3 linked regions of the Canis lupus familiaris genome follow. The protein of the gene in region 3 purifies or fractionates together with the protein of the main gene of each other region. This does not show direct contact. Links are inferred from orthologs where the notes say so. Each region holds a gene or a part of one and is shown on either strand. Other genes may lie near its edges. The genes, in order: AP2B1, REPS1 and AAK1.

The links.
Region 1: the proteins of AAK1 (region 3) and AP2B1 purify together in Homo sapiens (affinity purification with mass spectrometry; 4 studies listed by BioGRID and IntAct, with this or other methods). This does not show direct contact. The link is inferred for Canis lupus familiaris from reciprocal best matches to the Homo sapiens genes AAK1 and AP2B1.
Region 2: the proteins of AAK1 (region 3) and REPS1 purify together in Homo sapiens (affinity purification with mass spectrometry; 3 studies listed by BioGRID and IntAct, counting the BioPlex papers as one, with this or other methods). This does not show direct contact. The link is inferred for Canis lupus familiaris from reciprocal best matches to the Homo sapiens genes AAK1 and REPS1.

What each region holds. Positions count from the first base shown.
Region 1 is NC_049230.1:38,021,483-38,025,131, forward strand, and holds part of AP2B1 (AP-2 complex subunit beta), read right to left. Parts: intron 3,039-3,649; coding exon 2,793-3,038; intron 1-2,792. UniProt on the Homo sapiens protein: Component of the adaptor protein complex 2 (AP-2). Adaptor protein complexes function in protein transport via transport vesicles in different membrane traffic pathways.
Region 2 is NC_049222.1:31,452,160-31,456,588, reverse strand, and holds the start of REPS1 (ralBP1-associated Eps domain-containing protein 1), read left to right. Parts: upstream 1-1,498; 5' UTR 1,499-1,579; coding exon 1,580-1,732; intron 1,733-4,429. UniProt on the Homo sapiens protein: May coordinate the cellular actions of activated EGF receptors and Ral-GTPases.
Region 3 is NC_049231.1:69,533,289-69,536,937, forward strand, and holds part of AAK1 (AP2-associated protein kinase 1), read right to left. Parts: intron 2,948-3,649; coding exon 2,826-2,947; intron 1,580-2,825; coding exon 1,498-1,579; intron 994-1,497; coding exon 861-993; intron 1-860.

The sequences.
Region 1 (3,649 bases), on a different chromosome or scaffold from region 3:
TTCTCAAAATCTACCAAGTAATCTTAAATTTTCTCTAAAGCTTTCTCAAAGATAATTGTGAAAATCTCTCCAAATCACCTCCTGATTTGTAAAAACAGGTTAAGAAATTTTAAGAGTATTATAGTTTATTATAGTGTTTTATTACATTCAAAGAGACCCATTGATGTGTTGCCTGTTTAAATCACATATGTGTAAGTATGAAACGGGGGACAACAGATGATGATAAATGGGCTCATTTTATTTATCTATTGTTTTCATTTAGTCACTCTAAGTTTGAATACGTTTGAAAATTCCAATAATAAAAAGTAAACATATGTATAAACACATATATTACTTGAGAATATGGTGGGCTGGACAAAAACCAGTCCTTCCTCCACAATAAAAACTTAAAATAGGTCAAATTAGGCTTGTTCCAGAATCCTTCCATCCTCTCAACTGGACAAAAATCTAAGCGCTTGGGTACCAAACGAACAAAAATTCTTTATTAAACCATCAGTTAGCCCCTATCCCTGACCATCTAATTTTACAGGTTCTATTTCAAGAAATTTACATTATTGCAAAGATGCCTTTTTCTCCCTAAACTGGAAATACCTATATGAGTTATAATTCATTTTCACCTCACTCCACTGCACATTGTTAGCCCCACTGGGTATTTAACAAGTTTCCATGGATTGCATGATATCCTGTTTATTTGGAAGCCTGAAACCTGGAGCATGGAGCCCAAACACTTATTATCTTCTCATTTGTCCTCAAGTAGAAAATTTCAAAGACAGTGGCTCAGGGTAAGAGTGACTCAAAAGCAACACCAAAACACAACTTGGGACCAGCTAAACATTCTATAAAATAGATACTAATGCCTTGTATCTTTCCTTATGGAATTAAAAAAAAAAAAAAAAAGTGCCACATGGTCTTACTCGAGGGAAAAAAAGAAAGGTTGAATCTTCTAATGCTGGTGGTGATACCTATCAGAAGTCATGGTTTAAGCACATATATACCTGCACCAGCTTCTGTGCCTGGAAGGTGGCTACAAGATTTTTTTTTTTTAAGATTTTTATTTATTTATTCATGAGAGACACAGAGGGAAAGAGAGGCAGAGACACAGGCAGAAAGAGAAGCAGGCTTCATGCAGGGAGCCCGATGCAGGACTCCATCCCCGGACTCCAGGATCACACCCTGGGCCAAAGGCAGGTGCTCAACCGCTGAGCCACCCAGGCATCCCATGGCTAAAAGATTCCTAATGATAGGTACTACAGTACCTTAAAACAAAACAAAACAAAACGTGGTTTTCTTCATCCCTTGACCTTGATGCTAAACTTGAAAGATAATAAAAGCCAAGGCTATTCAAAGAATAAGATGAACCAGATGAAATATTAAAGCAGAGATCTGAGCACATGATTTGCAAGTAAGAGACAATGTCTATTTCAAGGCAAATTCCAACTCTATTTCAAAAAGTTCAACAACAAAGAAAGCATTCAGAGGTTATCCAGTGATTAACTCAAAGTTATTCACCTCCAAGTAAATAGTGCATTAGGCAAAAAGGGGAGGCCTTATTCCTCCATCTTCTCAATAATGGCACCTAGTCATCAATCACTCCATTCAAATGAGCTCCAGTTACTAGCAGAGTCAACATACCACTTGGGACTTTCTCCCCTTCATTATATGGACAAAGTTAAAAATATTAGTAAGAGAAATAAAAGGTCCTCAAACTTTAAAGTGTTATGTTCTAGCTGCCAAACACTTAGAATATTAATTGTCAAAAAGAATTTTGTCTTAGAATTTTCCTGTATAAGAATGCATTACAATAATTAGGCAATAAATAAAACTTTGTTTCTACTCCCACACCAGAAAAGACCACAAACGTCTGAAGAAATAATCTTTAAAAAAACTGATATAGGGACGTCTGTGTGGGTCAGCGGTTGAGCATCTGCCTTCGGTTCAGGATGTGATCCTGGGGTCCTAGGATACAGTTCTGCATCAGGCTCCCTGCAGGGAGTCTGTTTCTCCTCTGCCGATGTTTCTGCCTCTCTCTGTGTGTCTCTCATGAATGAATAAAAAAAAATATATATATATATATATACATCTATATATAGATATATATAAATTTAAGGTAAAACTCAAAAAATTATTAAAGAGCCAAGGTTTCTGAGCAAACACAGGGGTAGGTATGATACAAAGGTTTGCTTTAAGACCCCTGTATTTTAGTAGCACTTGGTTTTCACTTGAGAAAACAACTAATGTGTGAGACATAATCTGAGGGACACACAGAATTCATGTTTCTCATAGCTAATCTGTTTCAATATCCCAGAGACAAGATTTGTTTTAAATATGCTTTTTAGGGGATCCCTGGGTGGCTCAGCGGTTTGGTGCCTGCCTTTGGCCCAGGGCATGATCCTGGAGTCCCAGGATCGAGTCTTGCGTCGGGCTCCCGGCATGGAGCCTGCTTCCCCCTCTGCCTGTGTCTCTGCCTCTCTGTCTATCATGAATAAATAAATAAATAAATCTTTAAAAATTTTTAAAATAAAAATAAACATGCTTTTTAGGAAAGCCTCGGTGGCTCAGAGGTTTAGCGCTATCTTCGGCCCAGGGCGTGATCTTGGAGACCCAGGATGGAGTCCCATATTGGGCTTCCTGCATGGAGTCTGCTTCTCTCTCTTGCCTGTGTCTCTGCCTCTGTCTCTCTCTGTGTCTCTCATGAATAAATAAATAAATAATCTTAAAAAAAATAAAATAAACATTCTTTTTAAAGGGATGCATTTTAAGTACTGCTCTCTATAAAAGCAGAAGCTTATTACCATTGGATTTGAATCTGCTATGAGATCCCGCAGAGAATCCAGAAATCCCTGATCTTCCACCATTTGGGCATTGATATCATGGAGTTTTGCCACACAAACTGCTGCTGTTTTCCGAACATAGGGATCTTCATCCTTCAAGCACTTGCGTAGAGGCTCACAGAGATATTCTGTAATCTTGTCCACCCGGATGCACCCCATGGTCCTGACTGCCAAGGCCCGAATTAGAGGATTGGGATCTTCACAATCCTAAAAAGAAAGAGAAAGAGAGAAAGAAAGAGAAAGAGAGAGAGAGAGGAGAGAAAAAAGAAAAAGAGGAAGAGGAAGAAGAAAAAAAGAAAAAAATCATTGACAACTACAGGTATACATGGTGACTAAAAAGTAAACAGTCTAGTTTATACAAGCCTCAGAAGAACATTTCCTTTATGTAAGCTTCCAGTTACACTCTGTATCAGACACTAATCCCCCATACTATTGTTTCCTAAGTACAAATCTTAATTGCCTATTTAAGAGCTTAGGTTAGGAATTCATTTAACTATTTTACAAACACAATGAAGAAATGCCCAGTAGTATTCATTCCAGGGTGAGGCAGAAGTCAACTGGTATTACCATCACCATGGCTGTTACTGTATGTGCCTTAACAACAGGAAAAAAATGAGGAATTGGAAAAACGTGTACCACTCCCGAGTCAGTCTGCAAATATCCCCAACCCTGCACATGCATTCACTTTCTTGCTCTCTCAAATGAATAAATCTTAAAAGGAGATCTTACAAGGATGAAATGATTTTTCATCTTTATGTTTGGAATCTGCTTTAAAATTATCCATTAGGAGGAGTGGGAGTCAGGAAAGCATGTATAGG
Region 2 (4,429 bases), on a different chromosome or scaffold from region 3:
GGAAAGGACTGGGAACCTGTCCTGATTTCCTCCCATGGGCCATCTATAGGATCAGAAAACTCTAGGGAGCAACATAGAGAAGACAAAATTAAAAAAAAACCAAAATGGAAGAATCTGTGTCACAAACAGCCTTAGCTGTTGTTTTTGAAATATTTCATATTTGCTAAGCATAAACTCTTCAGTGTTGTACGTGGGCCATCTTAGGATCTCCTCCCAGGGCGGTGCCGACGGGCGGCTATTGCGGGGCAGGGAGCCCTGAGGTCAGCCCAGGCCCGCACGAGCGAGGTCACCAGGTCGGCCTCGCGCGTAGAACAAAACCTACGCGCCGGTTTTCCCCTCTATTCCGCAAATTCTGTTTCTCAGGTAAACATGGTTTGGAGCGAGAGCGGCAGCTGGAGCTCAACGTTCCCGTCAATCCGGGAGTTCCCAGGTAGATGGAATCTTCCAGGTAGCAGGGACAAAGGCCCAGGGGCAGGAAAGACCTTAAAGGCCTAGGACAGGTGGTGGAGGAAAAGATGCTGAAGGCAACTGTGATCCAATCCCTACCCCGTTGCGCTCCTCTTGTCTACACCTTTGGAAGACAAGCCATCTGTAGGGGCGCACAGGGATACTGCGTTTAGCCTCCGCGACACCGGACCTCTAGGGCGCACAAACAGATACAACGATTACCCCCCGAGCACTGTTCCTCTTTCAATCAACGCTCATTCGGCCTCCAGTGCCCGGAGCTTCGAGGCCATCGAAGCGCCCCGCCTCGGCGTCCCGGGGCCGCTGCTGGGGGCCCCTAGCGCGGCCGCCTGGGGCTGCGGTCGGCGCGGGCCTCCCCGCGGGGCTCCGGCCGCCAGGGGGCGCTGCGGCCCCCTCTCCCGGGAGCGGCCGAGCCCGCCCGGTGGGTGTTTCTCTCCCTCTCGCGCTCTCTCCTCCCGGCCTCACATCCGGGTCTGGAGCGCGGCGGCCGCTGTCAGTGTCGGTGCGGGCGCGTCGGGGGCCGGGCCGGGCGCAGTAAATGGCGGCGGAGGGAGGCGGAGCGGCGGCCACGCTCCGCTCACAGCCCCCGAAACTTTAGCCGCGAAGCCCCACAACTTTCCGGGAAGCGCCGGCGCTCCGGGGGCGTGGACGGAAGGGGAAGCCGAGGCGGGGAGTCTGGGGGGAAGCGGCGCGGAGCCGGGGAGCCTCGAACCCGCGGCGGGGGCGGGGGCGGTGGCGGAGTCCGCCCGAGCCTCGCGCCGCCGCGGCCCCCGCCTCCTCCTCCCCCGCGCCCTCCCCTCGGCCGCGGAGCCGGAGCCGGAGCCCGAGCCGCAGCCGGAGCCGGAGCCGGAGCCCGAGCCGGAGCCCGAGCCCGAGCCGCGCGCCGAGCCGAGCCCGGGACCGCGCGGGGCCTCGCGGGCGGCGGCGCGCCGAGCGACCTCCGGGCCCTGTTGCTCGCGCGCCCCCCGCGCGCCGGAGGCCGGGGCTCCGCGCGGCTCCGCGGGGCGAGGAGGAAGCCGGGGCGCGCGCGGCCCCCGCCGTCCCGGGGTCGTGGGGCCGGGCCCCGGGTCTTGCATGCGGGGCGGGGCGGGGCGGCCGTGAGCCGGAGGCGAAGATGGAAGGCTTAACGCTGAGCGATGCGGAGCAGAAATACTACTCGGATCTCTTCTCCTACTGCGACATCGAGAGCACCAAGAAGGTGGCGGCCAACGGGCGGGTGCTGGAGCTGTTCCGGGCCGCGCAGCTGCCCAACGACGTGGTCCTCCAGGTGACGCGGCCGCCCCGGGGCTGGGCGGGAGGGGGCCCGGGCTCCCCAGCAGCGGGCTGGGGCCGCAGGTGCCCGGGCGGCCCGCGCTCGCGCCGCGGCCGAGGGGGAGGGGTCGCTGTTGGAGGACAAAAGTCACGCCGGGATCCGGTGCGGGTGCGGGTGGGGGCGGGGGTGGGGGTGGGTGGGGGCGGGGGTCTGGGTATTCTCTCCCAAGAGCCAAGTCCGGGGTCTCGCGGCTGCCCCCCAGACTCTGCTTTTCGACGCGGGAAGAGCGACTTTGAGATGAAGGATCTTGCATTGCTACCGTGTCTTTGAATCCTGGATCCTGCAGAGTAGTAAAGTTATCGGTGTAGATAAATTTTTTTTTTTTTTTTTTTTTTTGATTCTTGAATGAGCCAGCAGATGGGACAAAGTGGGGTTTTGTAGGACTCGAAGAAGCAGTTTTCTTTTAAGGAAGCTGAATTCTTTCTTGGGGAGATCAAAAATTTGGACTTAGAGCTAGTCGTCTGCAAATAGATGTGGAAAGAACTTGCAGCTAACTATAGGACATGTGACTGATGTAAACTGGACAGTTTGCGATTGGCATTCGGTAACATTTGGTGGAACTTGTGGGTTTGGGCTGGGAGATGAGTATTGAGCCAGCTGTTAAGTCAAACGTGCATATTTGTTTGCTTCAATCAGATGTGTAGCACTAGAAAAGCAAGCAGTAAATTTTAAGCTTTCTCTATCACGTCTGTTTTTAAAATAGAAGGTTTCCTAGAAGGTCTTATCTAATGTATGTGGTGAACATTATTGTTACTGTTTAATGATTCATAGCTGCTAGTCTGTCTAAACAGCATATCTGGGGCAGGTTTTAAGCTTTCATCTTTATCATGATCCAAGCCACTTACCCACATCTCCAAAACTTAAAGCCATATGCATAGGTATAATGTAGTATACTGCAGAGGGCACTGAATCTGGGTTTTTGAGGCCTGGGTCTTTGACCCCATTCTGTTGTTAACCAGCAGTGGGACTTTGGGCCAGGTACTTTCACTCTTTAAGCGTAAATCTGCTCATCTAATGAATGAGAGGTTCCTTCTGACAAAAATTTTGGAAGTATAAAAATGCCCACGAAGGTCTCTGTTTTAGAAATTACCTGTGTGTTAACTATGACTAAGTTGAATGCGTTCTTTTTGCATAATCTTATATGTCTCATATTGCTTTTTAAAAAGTTTTGGGAGGAAAAGTTGGATGTCTTAGATACCAACAGCTAGGAGTCTAAAATTTGTGCTGCTGTAAAGGGACAAAAATAAAATATTTTAGGCTTTGCTGGCCACATACAGTCTCTCTCGAATATTCTTTGTTTTTGTTTTTGCGACCCTTTTTTTTTTTTTAAGATTTTATTTATTCATGAGAGAGGCAGAGACATAGGCAGAGAGAGAAGCAGGCTCCACGCAGGGAGCCCGATGTGGGAATCCATCCGGGGACTCTGGAATCACGCCCTGAGCCAAAGGCAGACGCTCAACCACTGAGCCACCCAGGTGTCCCTGAGACCCTTTAAAAATGTAAAAAATATTCTTAGCTCGGGGGCATACAAAACAGGGTTGGGAGGGTCTACAGTCTGCTGATTCTGGCTAAAAAATGGTGGGAGCTTTGGGATACCATACTCTCACCTCTTATGCCTTTGGAGTTAGACTTTTAGAAAGACGTCTGGTCAGAACATGCTCATTAATTCTATTGCCCTTCTTTGTAGCAATAGCAAAACACACTTTCAAGTCATTTAGGAACTAAACGAGAAACTTTATGAGTTCTGTTTTGGTTTATGTTTTTGGGGTGGAGGGAGCTAAAATAAACAGACTTTCATATTTTTAATGGTGCCAGAAAACTTTAGGACTTTTAGTGTATTATTTAAGATAGACACATTAGTGTTAGTTAACCTTTGCTTGAAATCTGTTTAATCAAGTTATTTTCACGTTTTGCTCGGTTTTATTAACATTCAAAAGTATATTTCTGTTGCTTTTCAGTATAAAGAAAGGACTTACATAGCATAAATATTCAGGATTCAGTTACAAGCTGGAAGCTGTAGGAGCTCGCTGAAGCAGAACTAAGTATTTTGGGTATATTTGAAGGCAGTTTACTTAAAAACCGGCCTAAGACATAAAATGTGAGACAAAAGGGGAATATGGATTTGATTCTCTTGAGAATTTGGGATTGTCTGAAAACACAGCCTCCTGTTGCTAAGCGGGAGACATTTGAGTCAACTCAAATACATTAAGTTAGCTACTTAACTGGGGTAGGCATCACAGGGCATCGAAAGAGGAGTAAGAATCTCTCAAGGACCTTGTAAACTACAGAAATACACATATGTGACATAAAGTACCATGTGAATGCCATAGGAGAGGTACAAAGGAGGTGTGATCAGGAAAGTCTCCTTGACTTAATTGAGATGGACTTTAAATTAGTATGGCGGTAGGGCAGTGGGATGAAGGACTTGCAGGCAGAAGAAAACATGATAAAAGGTGGAAAGTGTAGGAGCCTTTTCAAGGGGTAGCAGATAGTTAGGTTTTGCTGAAGCTGGAGTGTGCCTTGGGGACAAAGGAACATACAGTTGAAAGAGACCATATTAAGAAAGACTAAGGAATATGCAGAAGATTTCGTATTTCAATAGGCAATGGAGACTCATTGCTGGTTATTTAACCTCGAGTAAGAAGAGAGTCG
Region 3 (3,649 bases):
GGGTAAGGTACCTATACTTTCTCAGCCTCGGCTTCCTCATTTGTATAATGGGGAGGATTATATCTACCATCTAAGATTTTTAAGAATTAAATAAGGCACAAGTAGGCCCTCAACAAATGTCAGATGCTCCACCCACATCTGCTTCTATTTTTTTTCAATGCAACCACACCCAGGACCCAAACTATCTCAGGATTTATAACCCATAATGGTGAAAATTGAGATGCTAAATCCCTTGACCAATGTGAGGAGATGATGAAATATTTCTGTCTCATATTTTAGTACAAGGGCTTTTGCAAAGATTACTTGTTCCACCATCTGGTTAATGAACTAGTACATATGCTTGCCATGATGATGCAAAAGAGTGGGGGAATCTTAAAAAAACATCTGAAACAAAGCACTGAGTTTAAATGCTGGTTATCAAAATCCAGTGATTAACCTAAAGAGAGAAAAAACCTAGTTCCATGGAGTTATACAGTCTTAATTATGTATTCACTCCAGCCAACGCATGGCAATCATTTCAATTTGTGTTTCTTCCAGTTTTGCAAAGATGAATTTCTTATCACTTGATAGGAGTCAGCTGGACTCTTTCACACTGACTGCAAGAGAACAGAGCAGTAATGTACTGCTCAAAGCACAGTTAGGATTTCTGCTCAAGTGCAAAAGAGCTTAGATTTACAGCAAAAAGACCTACCACTCTAACTAGACACTGTTATATTTATTATCTTTGAGTGACCAACCATTACCCACTGATTTATCTTTGCACCCAACCCATCACTCCTGCGATCCAGTCTCTTTGTTCCCCCAATTCATTCCTGGAGATAAGAGATAAAAATATGAAACTAGAAACTTGAAATACTTACTAATTAGGCAGTGCATGTCTTGGGAATATCGAGAGTTATCAGGAATTGTGAAGTTTCCATCACAAATTGCCACCTGACTCTCTCCAAATGGCAAAGTGAAGTAGCATAATTTATACAACAAACATCCAAGAGCCTAAAAAAATAAAGCAGATTGCTACGAGTGGTTTATTTACCATTACTGCAAACGGGTCTACAGAGAGAGAATGGCATCATCCACATTTACTAGCAGATATAAAAACTACGTAACTACTCACCTACTAGAAACTTGAATTTAGAACTCAACACCACTATTTAGCTGCTGAGATACATTATTTCTACCATCATTACCAGATGGTGCTCCAGTAAGGAACAAGTATTTCAGCTATTTTGCTCTTCAGAACTAGTAATGCATATATGAAAACCACCTAAATAATGGGCAGGTCACCTGAATAATTCTCACATAACTCTAAAGTAATTTCCTTTGACATGCCTCACGAAGCAGTGGCTGGTCATCTGGAGTGAAGATTAACCCTGAGGGTAAGTAGACAGTGGTATGGTACAGTGGCCACTCTCGCTATGGCACTGTCTGGATTAAACTTGGGAATCTACAGTCAAGACAGCTGGTATCTGAGATGCGGATAGGTTAGTTGACACCTACCCAAATGTCTGCCTTCGTAGTGATGATTTTGCCACTGTACAGGTTGACCATTTCTGGTGCTCGATAGGACAGCGTTGTGTATCTACAATCAAGAGATTTGGTTTTTGTTAAATATGTCAGTGCTATAATTAAAAACCAGGGGTAGCAGAAATACTTTTTAAAAACATATATATTGATATTAATAAAGTCTAGTTCCCTGGGAGCCATCTGCAGAAGAGAGTATGAAATATTAGTGCAGATAAAATGAAAAGCTGTCCTTAGCACACACCCATGGCCCTCTGGAAGCGGTCCTTCTATCTGAGGGCATGTGGAGACCCAGACACTATGGCACTTCAGTAAACGCTAAAAGCACTTTTCTTGGGTCCTCAAATGATAAAATCTTCCCCTGCAAATCCTTGTTGTCTGATGCTATATTGATACTGTATTTTCTGATTTGTTTTTAAGAACACCGATTCCCTTAAATGTGGCTCAACACAGATAATGTAATCCTGGCTAAGACACTGGAGAAGAGCAGAGAGTGGGTCCTGGCTGGGGTGGGAAGTGGATGAAACAACAGTTTTCCTCTTACCTCTGGCTCAAGTAAAGATAGTATAAGCTCAGCTTCAAAGTGAGGGTCTTGATGTTACCAAGCATGTGACTTATGATGCCCAGTTTGGCTGCCAGGGGTGACCCAGGAAAGGAGACTGAGGATGAGGATACAGGTGTGCATACCAGACTGCTGGTTTATTAGTAAAATTAGTGAGTGTCGTCACCTGTGAAAAACCTCACCCTCTGGACAAGAGGGGAACTTGGGTCAGGTTCTAACTAGAGCCAGAAATCTAAGGAAGCTTCTTCTCATCAAAGTCAGTGATTCGGTACCTGTAGAGCCTTCATAGCCCTACTTACCATTAATTCCACTAGATTGGTGAGCTCCTTAAGAGCAAGAAGGAGAACACAGCAATGTAGGGTTCAGTGAAAAGCACATCCAACTGACTGATAATGTCACAGTTGTTGTGATTCCATTTAAAAACATCACAGTTCCTCTACGGTTTGTGCACCATTCAGCTTTGTGAGGGCTGTGTGACATGTCAAAATATGTACGTACAGTGATCGCTGGACCACTGATAAAGTGCTGTAGGAGTCCTTCACTTTACTGACCAATGCTTGTGGACCCCTTCCACATCTTGCACCTAAAATCAAACAATCCAACCGCCAATGCGATGCTCTGAGACAAGGGGCAGCACGACTAGCACCATGGCCTTCCCACCCTGACCTACTCATCCTTCAGCTGAAAATACGGCTGCTGATCCGGTAATGGACAGAACTCCAAGAAAGGAGGAAAAGCTTACTTCTTAATCTCATCTTCTACTGCATTGACGCCCTCAGTTTGTGGATTCTGAAATTTGTTGGTGGCGCTTCCAAAGTCACACAGGACGTAGTGGCCTCGGTCATGCAAGAGGATATTTTCAACCTGAAAAACATTCCCCAACCACTCATTCCAAGATATTACTTTTTTAAATTTTTTAATTTAATTAATTAATTAATTAATTTATTTATTTATTTATTTATGACAGTCACAGAGAGAGAGAGAGAGAGAGGCAGAGACACAGGCGGAGGGAGAAGCAGGCTCCATGCACCGGGAGCCCGACGTGGGATTCGATCCCGGGTCTCCAGGATCGCGCCCTGGGCCAAAGGCAGGCGCCAAACCACTGCGCCACCCAGGGATCCCCCAAGATATTATTTAGCAATGCATATGAAAATTTGGTTCATAGTCGTATAATTATTTTATTTCTGATAATCCCATTAATATGCATAGGAAAGTTATTCCCCCCAAGTATCTCGACAAGGATCATCCCCAGGGAACAAAAGGCAAAGCACGCTGACAGGGTGAAATGAGAGTAGAGGGGGGCAAATAGAGGAATTCCACAATGGGGAAGTAAAAAGCCTCATTTTCTTAGATTTCCAGCCACATTTCTCACCTCTGCAGAAACACTCCTGATACTTTCAAGCCTCTGTATGTTTTCTCATGTTCTTCTTTCAGTCTAGAATGCTCTCTGTGGCCCCCACCTCATACCCAACCATCAATATCCCATTCATCTTTCCAACTCCAGTTCAAATGCCCCCTCTTCTTTGAAGCCTCCCTCAAGCACCCGCTCAGACAAATGTCACTCCT